Bombyx mori: one gene and its partner. The protein of the gene in region 1 interacts with the protein of each later gene in a biochemical or structural test. Links are inferred from orthologs where the notes say so. Each region holds a gene or a part of one and is shown on either strand. Other genes may lie near its edges. The genes, in order: elongation factor-like GTPase 1 and ribosome maturation protein SBDS.

Region 1 (3,832 bases):
CGAGCAAATTGAAGGCGTGCTTGTCGATGAGCTACCGTGAGTTTCGGGCCTGTGACAGGCCTTTTTGGAGTCAGATTCGCTTGCTTGAGTCGTCGACGAACTGTCTACTTGCTAGCTGCTACCCTACGAACATCTCGGAGCTCCTGTTGGACGTCGACACCAGGTTAATGCCGATTTCGGAGAGAGGTTAACACGATAAAACGGTCATTCCTCTCCGATGTGCCCCGGCGCCGTCGGGATAAAGCTACCAGTCTCTTGACAGCGCTTGCAAACTTTTGAAACACAGGAATGGCTTATTTGGAGCCGACGAGCGACAATCCGCTGGTTGAGCTCTTCTTGCAATAGGGCTACGATTTGTGCTACTTCTGTAGGTGTTGTCCCAATTGTCGTACAAGGTAAAGGGTCAAAAGTAGCCGAGATATGTACCAGTCAACGTGTGAAAGTCGACTGATAAAGAAAATCTGATAACAGGTGCTTTTATAGGGGTCAGTAGGCCGCAACTCGCGACGTATCAAGCAATTGAAACACGTCTTTTTCGTTATTCCTTCACTTAATCCAAGATAACTTCTTAAATACTGGCTTGATTTTAATGAATTTGGTATCAGTTTAAAGTTAGGAATTCAACCTTTAAAATGATCTCATTTTTATGATTATCAAAAAAATATTTAGTACACAAGATCGCGCGGAATCAATTTCAAGTAAGTGATTCCAAACTTTTGCTCGCGAGTGTATTAGTATCGACTACCACATAGAACATTTTACCAATGTTTGATCACTTTCAAGAATTATAATTTATTTAGTACTACAAATCACTAACAAACAATCAATTGCGAGCATCTATGAGCACCCTAGTTTTTATTACTATCATTGAGCTCATGGCCAAATTGAATTTCACTGGTAATAGCCCGCACGGCTGGTTACTACTATTCTGTCTATTTTTACCGCTGTACAATACAATTCAGACTTCGGCCTCATATTGCCCGGGCTTTGTGTGCCGAAAAGACAAAGAGGCGAAAGCGTAAAGCATTCTTGCACGTTATTTAAAAAAAAAAGGTGAACGTGAAAACATTCAAGCTTATTTTTCGGTGTGTAGTTTGTGGTTTTCTTCATTTTTCATCCTTAAATCTAATTTCTCTTGTAATACGGAATGCTGTGTATAGGTGAAATGACCTAGCTCGCTTTGTCATTTCCCCCTCTCCATGGTCTAGTGGTTCGGGAGACACTCTGCAGCTAAATACGATAACGCTAAATTGTATCTTTTCTCTATAGCCGTAACGAATCTGTCGCTAGTTATATTTTAGTCTCAACGTGCCTAGAAATAACTTGTTGCCGGTATTCGATGATTACCGAACGAGTCTTTAGGTTGTACTTAATATTATATTAATTGATAATTTAAAATATTACTTTTATTTAAAATGCCACTAGCTCTCTGTATATAATTTAGGAATTAAACAATTCACACCGGTGGCATCGCAATATAGTAGTTTATACGAAATCCAATAGATGTCGCTAAAATAAATATAGTACAAGATAGTATGCTACTGCCATCTACAGAAGCAATAAGAAACTAATAATAAGACATCTAGTGGCCGAAGCCCGTAAACAGTGACTCGCGAGACGCTCTGTCTATTTTCTCAGTCTCGCTCTTCCTAAATTGTATATTTTCTTTCTAGCCGTAACGAATCTGTTGCTATTTAAATTTTACTCTCAATGCGCCCAAAGAAGTTTCACTTAAAAAAATTAAAAAATAACCCCAATAATATACCTTAAATCTTCTAAGCATCTTTCAAGATGAACTTCCCCGGCGGTGACTAGTACATGCTCTCCAGTCTCTTGTAATAAAACTTGTACGCACGAATCAGATTGATTTAACAGTTTTAAACCTGAAAGGAGAATTTGATCACAAGTTAAACTTAGTATTTGCTACAAACTGAGTTTTTAAAGTAATTTGTTTTAAAACACAAATATACCCAGAATTTTGATCGGATTAAAACAAAAAAAAAGTCACTTTTCAATTATTCAATTCTTACCTTTTACTAGTTGAGGCAACTGTGACGGATTAGTAGGCTCTATCGCTACTCTTAAAATAGGTACCACTGAGTATTGCATCTCGCTAAAAGCCGGACAAGCTACTGTGCTGCTCAGAGTTGCCGTCTTTAGTACATGCTCCTCTAGGCCGCCGATTCCTGTAATTTATTTTTAAATTTAACAACAAAGAAATCATATTCGGACGTATGATTACTATTATTATTAGTCGTCACGGGGACTTAAGCATGTACACAGTGCAAGAGAGATTCAGTAGTCACAGAGATCAATTATTAGTTCGCCGTGAGTGAAAGCAATGTTCATTAGGATTTTTATAGTGTTTGGTTACGGGCAACGTAAAAATCATGAGTATATTTAATTCATTGATCGCGATATTTTTAGCGGTTTAGGGATAGGTACTACAGAATTGAGAAAACGCGGGTTTATGGAATTTGAATTATAAATATATGAGAACTATTGATATTCAGTTTAGTAAATTAATAATATTTTCCGTTCTCTTCAAGGTAGTGGATTGTTTTAGTGCCTTGGACAATGGTCTGTAAATAGCCTTATAGCTATGATTATAGAACATCAATATCGACACTTAAATTAACAGATTTAGAAGCAAGCAGACATTTGTCTGCATATAGACTCTAATGTACGTTTTTTTTTCAAAATTCAAATATCGAACCTCACCAATAATGTTACCAGCAACAGCTTCATCGATGTCTTCTAGTTCTCTTCCCATCAAAATGTATAATGATTTGATTCTGAAAGTTAATTCAAATACTGGCTTATTTAAAAAAAAACTACTTTCATTTAAAAATCATATAATATGATGAATATTTTAAATGGTAATCAAGCTTGACAAAGCTTGGATGACTATTCAAGATCATTCAGTCTAATAACTTGTCATACTGTAGTTAAAAGGACTAATCTATAATGCACAAATAACAGCATCAGTAATCATTGCATTTACAAAATTAGGATAAAAAATATTGGAGTTTAATTTAATTTCCATTTTTTAATTTATATTCTGATGATATCTGATAAAATCGATATTATAATTTGGCAAGGCTGGCCGTAATCTGCTTTAGGGAAAAAACAAAACTCAACAAATCAGAGGTATCAACCTGGTACATTGAAATAAGCTTCCAGTAAAAAGCAAATACTTTATCCCTCTAACATGGACTGTAATAGGGACTTATATTCCATATTAGTTTATGTTTCGAATTTGTTAGGATTATTTAAAATAAGTTTATTTTCTTTTCAGTCAATTCGTTTAGTAATGATGTTATTAACCATTATAACATAATTAATTAGTAGCCTTCTAAACATGGTGGCGGGTTTCAAACACTAGGAAAGATAATTAGAAATACCATAGCCATTAAAATGCTGACGTGTCAGTAAGATAACGAAATGTATCCACTGTTTACTAAAATATTTACTAACAATTTTTAATATGTAAATTTTAAATTGTTGCTTAACTCTGCAACAAATTTGAATAATATTAAAGCAGTTTCTTTCAAATCAAGTCTAATTAGTGGTGGGGCACATTGTAAGCCTTCAGGACTAAGCATCATCCTCCTGCCTATTTCAGTCATGTATTTCCGGTTTGAGGAGTCCGCTATACTGTAAAAATGAGACTTAGATCTCTCAAGGTCATTTTGAGATGTCTAATGACTCCAGTTAGTGCTTATACAGAGATAATAGAAAACTTTAACATGCTTACTCTGCACAAGTTATGTGTTCATCGCTTTGTAAATCTTTTAACTTTTTATTTGTATCTATTTTAATGTTACAATTA
Region 2 (4,429 bases), on another chromosome or scaffold:
AAGATGACAGAAATAAATACTTTTTATTCGGAAATAAAAAACAACCTAAAACGTCCTTAAGTACGGAGAGCTATGGGACGACTGAAATCATTAAGTAACTAAATGCGATTACACCTTCCTAAAAGCGTTTTCTAATAAGGCTTCTAAATGATTTAGTCAGTCAGAAACCATCCTTGCTACTGAATTTAGTAGGCTAGCTTACTGAATGCTATTACCCTTCACTGAATTCAGTAGCGACTGAATTTAGCCAAGCGTAATAAGCCTTTAAGAAAAACACTTCTTAATGAGGGTAATACCCATGGAGTTAATAAGTACCTATATCTCAAATATTGGGTGTATTATCTATGAAGATATTTAGACTTTATAGAATTTAGGACTTTTTGCATTCCCGATCCTGCGGAAAGAATGGAAAGCAGCCGATGTCGCCCAAAACATGTCATCTCGGATCCTCCCGATCCACTAATGGTGCTTTTAGGTACCTCAAGCACCGGTCACCGTTCTCGTCGAACCCGTCGCTTGCGACGAAGGGCTCGACGAGTACATTAACCCTCAGACACAGCCCACTGAGTTTCTCGCCGGATCTTCTCAGTGGGTCGCGTTTCCGATCCGGTGGTAGATTCTGCGAAGCACGGCTCTTGCTAGGATTCGTGTTAGCAACGTCGTCAGGTTTGAGCTCCGTGAGCTCACCTACTAGTTAAGGTTACGCTGGAATAGCCTCTCAGGGCTACCAGCTTAGGTGAGAAAAAAAAAGGACTTTTTGGCGGGAACGCGAGGAGTGAAGTTGTGTGATTTGTTTTATTTTGTCTATTTAGTGTTTTTTCGGGTTTAAATGTGTAATAATGGTGGTTTATTAACTGTTTAATATCTGTGAAAGTGCACAAATGTGGGAAAATGAAACAAAGCCGCTGGACGTAACTTCGCAGGATCCTCCAAAAAGTCCACTGAAAAAATCTTAGTAAATGACCACCATTTTATTGAGATTATATTTCATCCCATTTCATTTCATCCCATCCCAGTTGATTAATGTTTCAAAGTAATCATTTTCATTTCATTTCACTCCATAATATCATTTTTCATAAAAATATGAATATAAATTAAAATAAGACATGACCTAAAGGTCTCAGTTACCAGTTCATAAAATCCCTTAAAAAAATTATAGAATTTAGGACTTTTTGGCGGGAATGCGAGGAGTGAAGTTGTGTGATTTGTTTTATTTTGTCTATTTAGTGTTTCTTCAGATTTAAATGTGTAATAACGGTGGTTTATTAACTTTTTAATATCTGTGAAAGTGCACAAATGTCGGAAAATGAAAGAAATCCGCTGAACGTTACTTCTCGGGAGCCTCCAAAAAGTCCACTGAAAAAAATCTTAGTAAATGACCACCATTTTACTGAGATTACATTTCATCCCGTATCATCTCATTTCATTTAATTTCATCCCAGTTGATTAATGTCTCAAATTAATCATCTTCATTTCATTTCACTCCATAATATCATTTTTCATAAAAATATGAATATAAATTAAAATAAGACATGACTTAAAGGTCCTAGTTACCAGGTCATAAAATCCCTTAAAAAAATTGAGAATTTAAAGCCGAAGCAATAGAATCACTAAATTAAAAACAATGTCTAAAATATTTACACCTACGAATCAAATACGTCTCACAAATGTGGCGATCGTAAGATTAAAGAAAGGCGGAAAGAGGTTTGAAATAGCCTGCTACAAGAACAAAGTGCTGTCTTGGCGAAATAAACTGTAAGATCAACAATACTTAAATATGTTTTTACATTCACCTTCGATAGTGAGAAACACACCAGTTTACTTTTCTACTTTCTCAATTATTTCGTAAGATTCGTTTAAGAAAATATTATATAAATTGAAACAAGGAACACGCGCGAGACCATAGACATGAAAAAACGCAGAAGTTAGATGAGAAAATTTATCAAATAACACCCCTAATTTGTAATAATTACCTATCATCAGACTTCAAGAGTACTGTAAGTTCCTCATTTTGTGAAGAAACGTGAACCGCAATATCTTCATAAAGCATCTTCATAAACTATTGAAAATTTTAATTTAGACAGTGGCTTGGCCGTGTCTCCTGCAGTCTTAAAAAACTATGGTGACTACTGACCATTAGGTGGGCTACATACTCTTCTACTTACAAAAGTAATGAAGAATCGGTTGAAAAAAATGATAAAAAAATATAAGTCAAATTCTTCTTTCTATCTTAGAAAATTTATCATAAAACTAGTGATCAATCCATAAAGATGCTATAAATGTAAAATTATTACTTAGACATTTATGTATTATGTTATGTCAATGCTATTTAACATTAATTTATGATTAATATTTAATAATTAAATTAATCAATGATTAATGTTAAATAATTAAATTCATCTATGATTAATGTTAAATAATTAAATCAATCTATGATTAATGTTAAATAACATTGCATCAGTGTTCATTTTGATTGAAAGAAATAGTTGTTACAATAAAGCAGTAAAGTTTTAATTCAAATATGCTTCTGAGATATGCCTTTTTACATGATGTTTCAAGAAAGCTCTCCACAATTATCAATGGTTTTCCTGTACCTCTGGTTCTACTAATGTACCCAAATTTTTTGTAACAACAAAAGCAACTAGGTAGTAAAATAATATTCAATAAACAAATCATCAAAATTAAATAAACAATCCAAAAATACAGATAAGTAAGCAAGGTTATTATTATAAATGAAAGAGATGATTAGCATATTAAACGAATTTCAAACTTATGAAATTTCAATATATTCCTTCCTAATTGCTGTGTAATTTAATATGGCTCGAAATCCATTTTTATTTAAATCCATAAATAAAATTTTCTCCTATTAGATTACAACACGAGTCACCTGGAGAATCAATAAAGAGTAGATTTCAAAACAATTTTAATATAACATCAGATCAAAGTAAAAGCTATTTCGAAAAATGTTTGCCAATACTCACAGCACCTATGTCTTTCATGTTTTTTCTATACTCTTTAGTACTATTACTATTACTGTTACTATTACTGTTACTGTTACTATTACTGTTACTATTACTGTTACTGTTACTATTACTTTTAGAATTCTTTCATTTGATCTTTTTTCTTATTACAGAGAAAAAGACATTGATGAAGTTTTACAGACTCATACCGTCTTTACAAATGTTTCCAAAGGACAAGTTGCAAAGAAAGAAGACTTAATAAAGATTTTTGCCAAAGAAGATCAAACGGAGATATGCAAAGAAATTCTGGAGAAAGGAGAACTACAGGTTTCAGACAAAGAAAGACATTCACAGATAGATTCTTTATTTAAAGATATTGCAACTACTGTAGCTGATAAATGTGTCAATCCAGAAACAAAACGACCATATCCAGTTTCTATAATAGAGAAGGCAATCAAAGATGTCCACTTCTCAGTCAATGTAAACAAAAGTGCAAAACAACAAGCTTTAGATGTGATACAAATATTAAAGAATGAAATACCTATTGAAAGAGCTCAAATGAGAGTAAGGATATTACTCACTGGTAAAGATGCTCGGAAAACTAAGGATAAAGTTGTTAAGCTTGCTACAACAGTGGAAGATGAAAACTGGGAATCTGGAACTGCTAACATTGTGTGTCTTATAGATCCTGGCAACTTTAGAAGTTTGGATGAAATGATAAGAACTGAAACAAAGGGCACAGGGCAATTTGAATTATTGAATTTGAAGGAAATGGTTGAAGGTGACCAAGCACTTTAGTTGTATTGTTGCAATTTTTCTGTATTAAATAATTGTAAACTAATGCCCAAATTAAATTATTTTCTAGGCTGAATTTCATCTATCAGTAGGATAACTTACTTAGTATTCATGTTGTAATGCCCATGGGTTCTGGTAATTAGTTTACATCAGGTGGCCTTTGAACAGGTATGCTCATCAATAACAAAAAAGCCTTTTTAACAAGTGTATAGGTAGTATTCTTACATAACAGATCTCCAGAGTAATCAGAAATTTTGATTTTAATCCAGAAAACTTGGCACAGACAATTCTCGAGATCAAAATCATAAAAGTCTATCCTTTGGAATGCAGTGCAACTTTCTAGAACATTCATGAGGTATGACTCAGTGAGATCTCGATCTCCCAGTTAAATTGAGCTAAATCTTATTCATTAGTGTTGCTTTAGCCGATGAGCTGTCAAGGTGTGATTGTAACATTGACCATGTCATCAATGGTCAGTGACCTTGACGCCTGTGCCTCAAAATTCAGATTTGATTTTTATTTTACTCTGTATACCTACTTGTATATTTAGTATTAAGGGCCAGGCTGTACTTGTTCTTGTCTCGTGTGTTTAGTCAGTACCCATAACCTAGGAGAAAATCGTAGTTAGGGGTTATTGAATTTAGAATGTTTATTTAAAGAGTATTATTATTTAG

What was found.
Region 2: the proteins of elongation factor-like GTPase 1 (region 1) and ribosome maturation protein SBDS interact in a biophysical measurement, tested with the Homo sapiens proteins (2 studies listed by BioGRID and IntAct, with this or other methods). The link is inferred for Bombyx mori from reciprocal best matches to the Homo sapiens genes EFL1 and SBDS.

Annotation. Positions count from the first base shown.
Region 1 is NC_085127.1:6,787,376-6,791,207, reverse strand, and holds part of elongation factor-like GTPase 1, read right to left. Parts: coding exon 3,758-3,832; intron 2,796-3,757; coding exon 2,722-2,795; intron 2,187-2,721; coding exon 2,031-2,186; intron 1,884-2,030; coding exon 1,766-1,883; intron 1-1,765. UniProt on the Homo sapiens protein: GTPase involved in the biogenesis of the 60S ribosomal subunit and translational activation of ribosomes.
Region 2 is NC_085116.1:4,483,467-4,487,895, forward strand, and holds ribosome maturation protein SBDS, read left to right. Parts: upstream 1-1,550; 5' UTR 1,551-1,624; coding exon 1,625-1,755; intron 1,756-3,133; coding exon 3,134-3,758; 3' UTR 3,759-3,801; downstream 3,802-4,429. UniProt on the Homo sapiens protein: Required for the assembly of mature ribosomes and ribosome biogenesis.